Arabidopsis thaliana: one gene and its partner. The protein of the gene in region 2 binds, or shares a complex with, the protein of the main gene of each other region. Each region holds a gene or a part of one and is shown on either strand. Other genes may lie near its edges. The genes, in order: GSO1 and AT4G34600. A codon is read from its position in the direction of its gene.

Region 1 (7,156 bases), 5.6 Mb from region 2:
TGCACAGAAAGATGTTCATCGGAAAAATTATCAAGGCACTTGACATCTATCAAGAACGGTTACTCTATTGATTCAAGCAAAAAATAATTATGAGCTGAGTGAGATTCATACTTGGTGCTCACTCCCTTGAGCTACTTAGAAACTGCACCATGTAATTGAAAGGTTCCTGTTTTTTTTTTTGTTTAGTGTAAGGTTATGTATTTGTATGGAACAGTTAGACTAAGTGTGTTAGTTTGTTTTAATCGCAATCACAAACAAATCATAACCTCTTCTTTTCTTGGCTGCTTTAATGAGTTTGATTAGCCAACAAACGCTTTGGAATCATCTGTGTTTTTTTTTTCTCTTTTGATTAATTCATGTTCATGTTTTTAGTCCCTAAGCATGATTAGTGTCTCAAATGTTTTAGGGTAATTGTGTCTCTTACGCCGAACTATAATGTTGATTAGTCTCAATAATTGATTATTACTTATACTATTTATTAACCTTGTGGTTACACTAATCAATCAAATCATATTGCGTTTCTTCTACTCTTTGTCTAACATTACTATTTTCAAAAAAAGTTACGGTCCAAACCAAACAAACCTACTCTGAGTTATACAGAACCATAAGCAATCTATTTCTTACCTTTGGCTACTTATTTGATACTTTACATTGACTAACTTGATTCTTAATAATTATCTTCAATATGTTGAATATTTTATTTTTGAAGTAAGACCACTATGCGTTTCATAATTCTTGCCATGCATAATGAAATTATTCCTTTGAATTTAAGATTAATTAAAGTATAAATCAACCAAACAATAGACAAAAAAAAATAAAAAAAAATAAGCATCTTGATCTTTTTGGTGGATCGAAGATAATTCCTTTGTCTCATTCTTTTGGATTTAGAATCTCGTTCAGTAGAATATTAACATTTTTAATTATAGATTATCAATTATCGAACAAGTTGTTGTACGTAAACTTGATTCGATCTAGCGTTATTACAGTCAACCAAAATTTATATAATAATAACAATTTATGAAAATGACAATATTATTCGATGTATTATTCCTTTTTTCCTATAATTAGATAGGTGTGATTAAATTCAAGCTAGATTCCGAATCGACAACAACATATTATATCTATTATTAACCTCAATTTTTGAAGGCAAAAAACACACGAAATTATTCAAAACTCACGAGTTGATTCTTTACTTCGATGAACATATAAATTGGGAAAGTATCACCGAACTTATTTGGGTAATAAAGAAAAAGATGGATGAAAAAATTATGTTTGCAAATTTTAATAAGAATTATGTTTGACTTGGTAATAAAATATAGGGCATAATCATATGATGCCATGTTAATGTACGATCATACCACAACTGCTCTCCTTGTCGTGAAAAGGTTGAAGTGATGAGAAGCTAACACACTTTGTGACATAACCAAAGCCAAAAATATATACTTCAACCAAGTCATTTTCTCAACCACTCTTTTCTCCTTGTCCAAGGTCAAAGCCATGCATCACCATTTTATTTTCTATTATTCATTATTGTTACTTTTCCTTTATATAACTAATAAAAGGTCTATTACTAATAAACAACTAAACTTTTCTTTTCTTTTTGATAAAATTAAACAACTAAACTTGTCGAAAAGAAATAGGAGAACAAAGAACTCTAACTTCTCACGAAATTGATAAATCAAATGATTGCGTATCACAAAGACACTAAAAAGAAAAATTAAGGAATCGTGTAGAGTTGACACTCTATACATTCAGAGTAGTAATCATGTGTTTGATAGATAATAAATAGATAATGGAAGTATGAAATGAGAAAACTTGTTGGGATCATTTATCATTTGTGGAATCCTCTAAATCTTTTCTAACTTAACTCCAAGTCGTTAGAGTCCAAGAGATATGAATCGATCGGAACTTCAATACAGAATTTAATTAGAATATAGTGGAACAACATCCACGAATCTAAATGTCATAAGTTGTTAATTGATCAAACGAAATAGAATGTACTTATTATAAGCTTATAATTTTACAAGTTTGATGTGAATGTAAAGTGTACTACTCCACTATTTATTTATATATTCTGTGGTTTCTAAAGAAGACCAAATGTTTTTTTTTTTTTCTTTCCTAAGAAGACCAAATGTTATGTCAAAGTTTAGGCACTGTTTTAATTATATAACATGTCTCCACGGACGAATAAATGTACACACGAACATCATAGTACGACCGTTGACCTTTGCCCCTCCATTGATTGATAAAAGGCTAAAAGCCGAAACATTTTCATTCTACGAGCCTTCCCATTCCATTTCCCCACATCTCTCCTCTGACCTCTCTTTGACCCCTCTCTCCTCTCTCTCTAGATCTCTCAATAAAACAGTGAAATAGCAAAAAAGAAACACAAAAAAGAGAGAGAGAAAGAAACTTTGTTCTCTCTGCATTTACTCTTCTCCAACTCAGAGATAGAGTCCCTATGCACCGTTTCTAATGACCAATCATCTTTCTCCCTCTTCATCATTCTCTACAACAAGAATCACACAAATGCCATAAAACCTCCATTCTTCTTCCTCAGTAAACCAAACCATAAGACGACGAAGAAGAAAACATGCAACCACTAGTTCTTCTCCTCCTCTTCATCCTCTGTTTTTCCGGTTTAGGTCAACCGGGTATCATCAACAACGATCTTCAGACTCTTCTCGAGGTGAAGAAATCTTTGGTCACGAATCCACAAGAAGACGATCCTCTCCGACAATGGAACTCTGATAACATCAACTACTGTTCTTGGACCGGAGTCACATGCGACAATACCGGTTTATTTCGTGTAATTGCTCTAAACCTTACCGGTTTAGGATTAACCGGTTCAATTTCACCTTGGTTTGGCCGGTTTGACAACCTAATCCACCTTGATCTATCTTCCAACAATCTAGTTGGTCCCATCCCAACTGCTCTCTCCAACCTTACTTCCTTGGAGTCTCTGTTTCTCTTTTCTAACCAACTCACCGGCGAGATTCCGAGCCAGCTCGGCTCCCTCGTTAATATCCGGTCGCTAAGGATCGGAGACAATGAGCTTGTTGGAGATATCCCGGAGACGTTAGGGAACTTGGTGAATCTCCAGATGCTTGCTCTGGCTTCTTGTAGACTCACCGGTCCTATACCGAGTCAGCTCGGTCGTCTCGTCCGAGTTCAGTCGTTGATATTGCAAGATAACTATCTCGAAGGACCGATTCCGGCTGAGTTAGGAAACTGCTCTGATCTCACTGTGTTCACTGCGGCGGAGAACATGCTCAACGGGACGATACCGGCGGAGCTTGGACGCCTTGAAAACCTCGAAATACTCAACCTGGCGAACAACAGTCTCACCGGAGAGATACCGAGTCAATTAGGTGAAATGAGCCAACTCCAGTATCTTAGCTTGATGGCAAATCAACTTCAAGGTCTTATCCCCAAGAGTTTGGCTGATCTGGGAAATCTTCAAACTCTTGATTTATCGGCGAATAATCTTACCGGAGAGATACCTGAAGAATTCTGGAACATGAGTCAGCTTCTTGATTTGGTTCTAGCAAACAATCATCTCTCTGGTTCATTACCAAAGAGCATTTGTTCTAACAACACAAACTTGGAGCAACTGGTTTTGTCTGGAACTCAGCTTTCTGGTGAAATCCCTGTGGAATTAAGCAAATGTCAATCGCTTAAGCAGCTTGATTTGTCGAACAATTCTCTCGCTGGCTCGATCCCTGAAGCATTGTTTGAGCTAGTCGAACTCACAGATCTTTATCTCCACAATAATACCTTGGAGGGTACGTTATCTCCTTCGATATCAAACCTCACTAATCTACAGTGGCTTGTGTTGTATCACAATAACTTGGAAGGCAAGTTACCGAAGGAGATCAGCGCACTCAGAAAATTAGAGGTTCTGTTTCTGTATGAGAATCGTTTCTCAGGGGAAATCCCACAGGAGATTGGAAACTGCACAAGCTTGAAGATGATTGATATGTTCGGGAATCATTTCGAAGGAGAGATACCTCCTTCAATAGGAAGATTAAAAGAGCTTAACTTGCTTCACTTGAGACAGAACGAGCTTGTGGGTGGACTTCCCGCCAGTTTAGGTAACTGTCATCAACTGAACATCTTGGATTTGGCGGATAATCAGCTCTCGGGATCAATTCCTTCATCCTTCGGGTTCTTAAAGGGCTTGGAACAGTTGATGCTTTACAACAATTCTCTTCAAGGAAATCTTCCTGATTCACTTATCAGTCTGAGGAACCTCACCAGAATCAATCTCTCTCACAACAGGCTCAATGGTACGATTCATCCATTATGTGGTTCGAGCTCATATCTCTCATTCGATGTCACCAACAACGGGTTTGAAGATGAAATCCCCCTGGAGCTAGGAAACTCTCAAAATCTTGATCGTCTCAGGTTAGGCAAGAATCAATTGACAGGAAAAATCCCTTGGACGTTGGGGAAAATCCGCGAGCTGTCCTTGTTAGATATGTCAAGCAACGCTCTCACAGGAACCATTCCGCTACAGCTCGTCTTGTGCAAGAAACTGACACACATCGATCTCAATAACAATTTTCTATCAGGTCCTATACCTCCATGGCTTGGAAAACTTTCACAGTTAGGAGAGCTCAAGCTTTCTTCGAATCAGTTTGTTGAGTCTTTACCTACTGAACTGTTCAACTGTACAAAGCTGCTTGTGTTGTCTCTTGATGGAAATTCGCTTAATGGGTCGATTCCACAAGAGATTGGTAACTTGGGAGCTCTCAATGTCCTTAACCTTGATAAGAACCAGTTTTCAGGTTCACTTCCTCAAGCTATGGGAAAGCTCAGCAAGCTGTATGAGCTTCGGTTATCAAGAAACAGCTTAACAGGAGAAATCCCAGTTGAGATTGGACAGCTTCAGGATCTTCAAAGTGCTTTAGACCTCAGCTACAATAACTTCACTGGAGATATACCTTCGACAATTGGGACATTATCAAAGCTGGAAACACTTGATCTTTCTCACAATCAGCTTACAGGGGAAGTTCCTGGCTCGGTTGGGGATATGAAGAGTTTGGGATATCTCAATGTTTCTTTCAATAACCTCGGAGGGAAGCTCAAGAAACAGTTCTCAAGATGGCCAGCTGATTCCTTTTTAGGCAACACAGGTCTTTGTGGAAGCCCACTAAGTCGCTGCAACAGAGTTAGAAGTAATAACAAGCAACAAGGTCTTAGTGCCAGATCAGTTGTGATAATATCAGCAATCTCAGCATTGACGGCGATTGGCTTGATGATACTTGTAATCGCTCTCTTCTTCAAACAAAGGCATGATTTCTTCAAGAAAGTGGGTCATGGAAGCACTGCGTACACATCGTCAAGCTCTTCTTCACAAGCTACACACAAGCCTCTCTTTCGAAACGGAGCTTCAAAGTCCGATATCAGGTGGGAGGACATCATGGAAGCTACACATAATCTAAGCGAGGAGTTCATGATTGGATCAGGAGGCTCTGGGAAGGTTTACAAGGCGGAGCTTGAAAATGGTGAGACTGTTGCAGTGAAAAAGATTCTCTGGAAGGATGATCTCATGTCAAACAAGAGCTTCAGCAGAGAAGTTAAGACGCTTGGAAGAATCAGGCATAGGCATCTGGTTAAGCTAATGGGTTACTGCAGCAGCAAGTCAGAAGGATTGAATCTGTTGATATATGAGTACATGAAGAACGGAAGCATCTGGGATTGGCTTCATGAGGACAAACCCGTGCTCGAAAAAAAGAAGAAGCTTTTAGACTGGGAAGCAAGATTGAGAATAGCAGTAGGATTGGCTCAAGGAGTAGAGTACCTTCATCATGACTGTGTTCCTCCTATCGTTCACCGTGATATCAAATCCAGTAATGTGCTCCTCGATTCAAACATGGAAGCGCATTTAGGAGATTTCGGTCTTGCCAAGGTCTTAACTGAGAACTGTGATACCAACACAGATTCAAATACCTGGTTTGCATGCTCTTATGGCTACATTGCTCCAGGTACTCATCTTCTCTTTCTTAGCTTTCTTGCATATTCACTGTTTTAATATCTAAAGATTTGAAATTGTGTGTCTAGAGTATGCTTACTCGTTGAAGGCGACTGAGAAGAGCGACGTTTACAGTATGGGGATCGTGTTGATGGAGATTGTGACTGGGAAAATGCCAACCGACTCAGTGTTTGGTGCAGAGATGGACATGGTGAGATGGGTTGAAACACATCTTGAAGTAGCGGGTTCTGCGAGAGATAAACTCATAGATCCAAAGCTTAAGCCACTTCTGCCATTTGAGGAAGACGCAGCTTGTCAGGTGCTTGAGATTGCACTTCAGTGCACAAAAACTTCTCCCCAAGAGAGACCATCTTCTAGGCAAGCTTGTGATAGTCTTCTCCATGTCTACAACAACAGAACGGCCGGTTATAAGAAGCTGTAAAAAAACTGACACCTGCAAATGTCTTTGGAGACATGAAAACTGCCAACTTTAAATTTTTTCTTCTGAAATTCTGTTTCTGCTTTGTATAGATGACATGGTTTCTTTCAGTACAAAGATTGTTTCGAACTTGATCCATCTGCTACAAAAACACTTATTGTCTTTTGCATGTACTTGTAATACAACTTAAACCAAATTTTAAACAGAATGATTCTGATTCTGATTCTGAAACTCTATTCTCATAACAGAAGGTAGATTGCAAGGTTTATCATTTCGCCATTATTAACCAGATACAAACAGATTCAGATTGTGAAAACACAAATCTTTAGGTTCATATTCGAAAACAGTGAATGAAAAGAACTCCAGAGCTGAAGTCAAAGAGAAGGAGAAGAAACGCTTATACAGGAAAGATCAGACAAAACAAGCACTTGAGATGAGTTCAGGGGAAGATATTTCTTTTCTGAAGACTTCAAAGATCACGCAAAATTAATCCCGATCTTCATCTGCATTACAAAAACAGAAGGAAAAGTTTGAATATTCCAAGTTATTCAATCCAACAAAACAAGAAATGTAATACACCAAATTCTGCCAGTCCCTCGCAAATATGCAATAGCCAATGGTGATAAACAAACAGAGATTCTTGAACTTATCATAAGTCACAAGATTTATCAAAGAAGAGTTTGCGAAAGCTTAGCAACTTACTACCTAAAACGAGACACGTTTACATATGTGGTTCCCTT
Region 2 (3,757 bases):
CATGGATATGGCGAGGAAACTCGTGGCATGGTCCAAGGCAGTCATATGGATGGTCGCCGGTTCATGGCAGTTGAGCCTACATATCATGTGGCTGATACGTCAAGATTGGGTCGTGGTGATGTGTCCTTGACTCTAGGGCTTCAAAACTCTCAAGGACAGGACAATGTTGTGGCTATGTCTAGTGAGGCATACAACAACTTTTCCGGGGTGGATATTTACGAGAATGCCATCCCGGGAGATGAAATGGAGTATGTAAACCCCGGAAGTCGCCAGAACCGGATAAATTCTTCACAATTGGTACATGATTTTGTAGCTTGAAGAAGTAAGCAATGGAGAGGAATAAAGCATAGGTGTGATGAACTTATGATCAGTCTCAATTCTGTAGTGGAAGAATGTTGGTCAGAAGAAAAAGTTTTAGAAATATTTGTATAAAGTAAACATTCTTTTGTACAAGAATATAAGTGAGGTTAGGTCATTGGGACCAAACAGAATATGGTAAATGCAATTTGAGATCTGCAAGAGATGGACATTACACTGTAGACTTATTATCTTATCACATCTACGAAACTGCAACGTTCCCAATTCTCTTCTCTTTTTTTTTGTCTGGCACATATACAATCTGTATCCGTTTTCAGAATTAATCGAATATTTCAATATTAATTTTGATCATAAGGATTCTATCAGATAAATTGTAATATTCATCTAATGATGACTATTCACCAAATTTACATTCTGCATGATAGCAAAGAGCACTATCTAATCATTAATTTACTAGAAAACATATCTTGAAACTTATATATATGATTATCATTCAAACTTATTGCAGTGTTAGTATTTAGGTTTACATATATTATACATCTCAGAAAGTCTGGCATCTATATATAGTCGATCGGTGATATGCATGATCAGTTGGGAATAAGCTTGAAAGGAGGTCTCACGAGCTTTGGTTTAGGACTGGAGTGGCCATAGTCTCTTGAATTCATTCTCAGAATTCTCTCATGCTCATGTATTCTTCTTTCTACTACCTGTCCACAAATAGAATGTATTCACCAACGTACAAAATTGTTCTTGAAATCATATAACTACGATCTTGATTATCAATTTGTTCGGTTTTTTACTAAGTAAAGATATACAACGCACGGTAGTTGGCAACTTTTTTTGGAGTTAAAACGAATACCTCGGGATGATCATCTTCTTGGCTATAGATTAAAATGGATGATCGGCCTACAAAAAAGAAAAAAAAAAGAGACTTAAGCTTGTCTATTCTTTATATCCAAGATTAATCAATCCAAATAACACTAACGTAACATACTATGTCGTTAATTTTCTCCTTTAGTCGTCATTAACACACATGTGGAGAGCACAAGCTCTTAATGTTATTATCTTACTTTCTAAAAGACTGATCTCAGTAGGAGGCACATGAAGTTGCAGAGAAAAGCTGCAAACAAAGGAATATAAATATGTAGATAGAGAGAGAGAAAAAAAAGTAAGAAACAAACCTGCAGAACAGAGAGCAAACGCTGAAGCTGAAACTAGAAGAAAGATGATGAAACCTAGTTTCTTCACCAATGGCAACAAACCCATCTTCTTTCTCCTTTCAATTTTTGATGTGCCTTAAGCTGTATCTTGTGTATTTAGATACACGTACCTTATCAAAAAAAAGAGAAGCCAATGCGTTTGGTATATCACTATATATAATCTCTAAAGAAATAACACGATTAAAAGTTAACTAATTTGTTTAGCCAACGTGAATGCTTTAAATAAAAAGCAACAATAAAAACCGGTTTAAATAGAGATTAGCTTGAGTTTCAAAATTAGATTGTATCAATTACAAATAAATAAAAATAGTAAAATACCATAACAACAATTGATTTATCCATCATTTAATTAATGCAAATATCTCTTAATGCTTTTAATTAAAAAAATTGTTCATGGAAATGGTGGGATTGGAGAAAAAGTTGAAAGGAGACTACTTTCCTATTGTTGGCCACAATAAGTCTAAAGAGGTTAGTGACCTGATTATTTAATATGAGTGCCTTCATTATCATAACCCAATTAAATTTACCAAATCATCATAATTATATTGTAGAATCCTTGAAGACTAGGTATTCAATATCGGTCAAAGTTCCATTCCTATTCTCCAATCAAGAGATATCGCTAGCTATAACCAACTGAATAATGTACGATTAGGCCTCTATAAATCTGATAGTGATATACTATATATGATACACTACTTCGTTTAACTCAAATTAATCGATCATAACATACTTACTGAAAGATAGAGTCATAAATTTTTCTCATAATTTTTTGCTAAAAAGTGTTAAACTTAAATGAATTGCTGATTGAGATTATGGAAAAAAGAGAACAAAGTTGTTTAAACTTTGCTTCGATGCACTGATTCGTCACACAATGATAAATTAAATGGATTACTGATTAATTGAGATTATGGAAAGAGAACAAAGTTGTTTGAACTTTGCTTTAATGAACTGATTCGTCACTATAATTAATGTTCGACGTATTATTTTATGGTTGCACATAAAAAGGAGTAAAGATGATGTAGTGGATGATGACCGTACCCTCACGATTCTTAATTTCAGTTTTGTTTGTTTTATTTATTTATTTTTGTTAAAAATTTCAGTTTTGTTTTGTCACTAATTTTTTTAAGGCTGGTATGAGTGCACGTCCTAACAAGAAACCACAACTCATTTAGAAGAAAACCGGCCTAATTAATTTTTTAAATGGAACCAAATTCTGGATTAGAATGTTATAGATAGCATAATTTATCTTGTTAAACACCGCTATATATTTTTCTATTACAAAATGAGAGTCAAGCTGTATATTAATACAAAACAATCATAGTAAACCTGTTGGGCCGGTTAAACTCTTGAATGGGCTTCGTAGTTAGTTAGTACACGTAATAGACATTAGAATCAACAACATACTGTACCATTAACATTTGCCTCGGGCCTATGTTTTAACTTACTTGTGAGGCTTTATAATTGTTTTGTGCTTATTTATAAAAGGTTGGGCTTATATTAAGATGTTGGGCAAAGCTCTCTCGATAGAAACTTGCACCAAAACTTTAAATCCGGTATGAACGTGTGTTGCTGACAAAGTTAATACATGTAGATAAAATCAAAGATTTCTAGACTTCACGGGCTTTTAGGTATCCTTTCGAAGAAGTAGGAATTAGAGTTTGGTGTAGGGTTCTACTCATTTATATGGACTTGTTACTTGTAACATAGAGTTTAGACGAAACCATTCAACTAATACATTATACATGTATGGTTTCTCGACTCTATGTTAGAGTCTAAATACACGAGTGTGTGACTTTCACAATAAAGAGTTTAAACCTTAGAATTGAAATTTCGATTCCGAACTAATTAACAAGAAAATACTTGAACTCGAAGGAAAATTCTGTTTTGAGTATCGTCGGCTATGACTTTTTACTTCCTAGTACATAAATTATAAATTTTCTCAATAAACCATAATACTATTCGAATGAGATTGGTTTCTAAAGGACTCTCTTAGCCGCCCCTGCTTTTCTTGTCTCGTCGTGCAATTCCTTTGGAGCGTTTTGAATATTAATAAGGACTTTTCACATCTATGTTAGTCATTATTTTTTATTTATTTATTTTTATCTTATTTTTTCTTGTCAATAATACTGAAAGATTTCTATTAAGACTACGCATCAAAAGAGTTCATGGAGAAAATGTTGTTTCTAAATTAGGCCTTGAAAATCGGTGGCTTCCAAACC

Evidence for each region.
Region 1: the proteins of AT4G34600 (region 2) and GSO1 are in contact, whole or in part, in a crystal structure (PDB 6S6Q), measured with the Arabidopsis thaliana proteins. Residues at the interface, in NP_195186.1 of Arabidopsis thaliana: Asp63 (codon at 971), Tyr64 (codon at 968), Gly65 (codon at 965), His66 (codon at 962), Ser67 (codon at 959), Ser68 (codon at 956), Pro69 (codon at 953), Lys70 (codon at 950), Pro71 (codon at 947), Leu73 (codon at 941), Val74 (codon at 938), Arg75 (codon at 935), Pro76 (codon at 932), Pro77 (codon at 929), Phe78 (codon at 926), Lys79 (codon at 923), Leu80 (codon at 920), Pro82 (codon at 914), Asn83 (codon at 911); in NP_193747.2 of Arabidopsis thaliana: Phe127 (codon at 2,972), Ser128 (codon at 2,975), Arg149 (codon at 3,038), Ile150 (codon at 3,041), Gly151 (codon at 3,044), Asp152 (codon at 3,047), Ala173 (codon at 3,110), Leu174 (codon at 3,113), Ala175 (codon at 3,116), Ser176 (codon at 3,119), Ile197 (codon at 3,182), Gln199 (codon at 3,188), Thr221 (codon at 3,254), Ile243 (codon at 3,320), Asn245 (codon at 3,326), Tyr267 (codon at 3,392), Asp293 (codon at 3,470), Leu314 (codon at 3,533), Asp315 (codon at 3,536), Val317 (codon at 3,542), Glu339 (codon at 3,608), Gln340 (codon at 3,611), Val342 (codon at 3,617), Gln364 (codon at 3,683), Asp388 (codon at 3,755), Tyr390 (codon at 3,761), His392 (codon at 3,767), Gln411 (codon at 3,824), Trp412 (codon at 3,827), Val414 (codon at 3,833).

Annotation. Positions count from the first base shown.
Region 1 is NC_003075.7:10,881,627-10,888,782, forward strand, and holds GSO1 (Leucine-rich repeat transmembrane protein kinase), read left to right. Parts: upstream 1-2,294; 5' UTR 2,295-2,593; coding exon 2,594-5,990; intron 5,991-6,066; coding exon 6,067-6,419; 3' UTR 6,420-6,644; downstream 6,645-7,156. Other genes in the region: PTAC14 (plastid transcriptionally active 14), read left to right, coding at 1-71; AT4G20150 (excitatory amino acid transporter), read right to left, coding at 6,903-6,919. UniProt on the Arabidopsis thaliana protein: Together with GSO2, receptor-like serine/threonine-kinase required during the development of the epidermal surface in embryos and cotyledons. In coordination with GSO2, regulates root growth through control of cell division and cell fate specification.
Region 2 is NC_003075.7:16,527,107-16,530,863, reverse strand, and holds AT4G34600 (uncharacterized protein), read right to left. Parts: upstream 1,807-3,757; 5' UTR 1,585-1,806; coding exon 1,500-1,584; intron 1,225-1,499; coding exon 1,178-1,224; coding exon of another isoform or gene 1,118-1,177; exon of another isoform or gene 1,026-1,117; coding exon 906-1,025; 3' UTR 636-905; downstream 1-635. Other genes in the region: BLH6 (BEL1-like homeodomain 6), read left to right, coding at 1-318. UniProt on the Arabidopsis thaliana protein: Peptide hormone required for contiguous Casparian strip diffusion barrier formation in roots via the regulation of CASPs protein expression and distribution in a GSO1-GSO2 signaling pathway.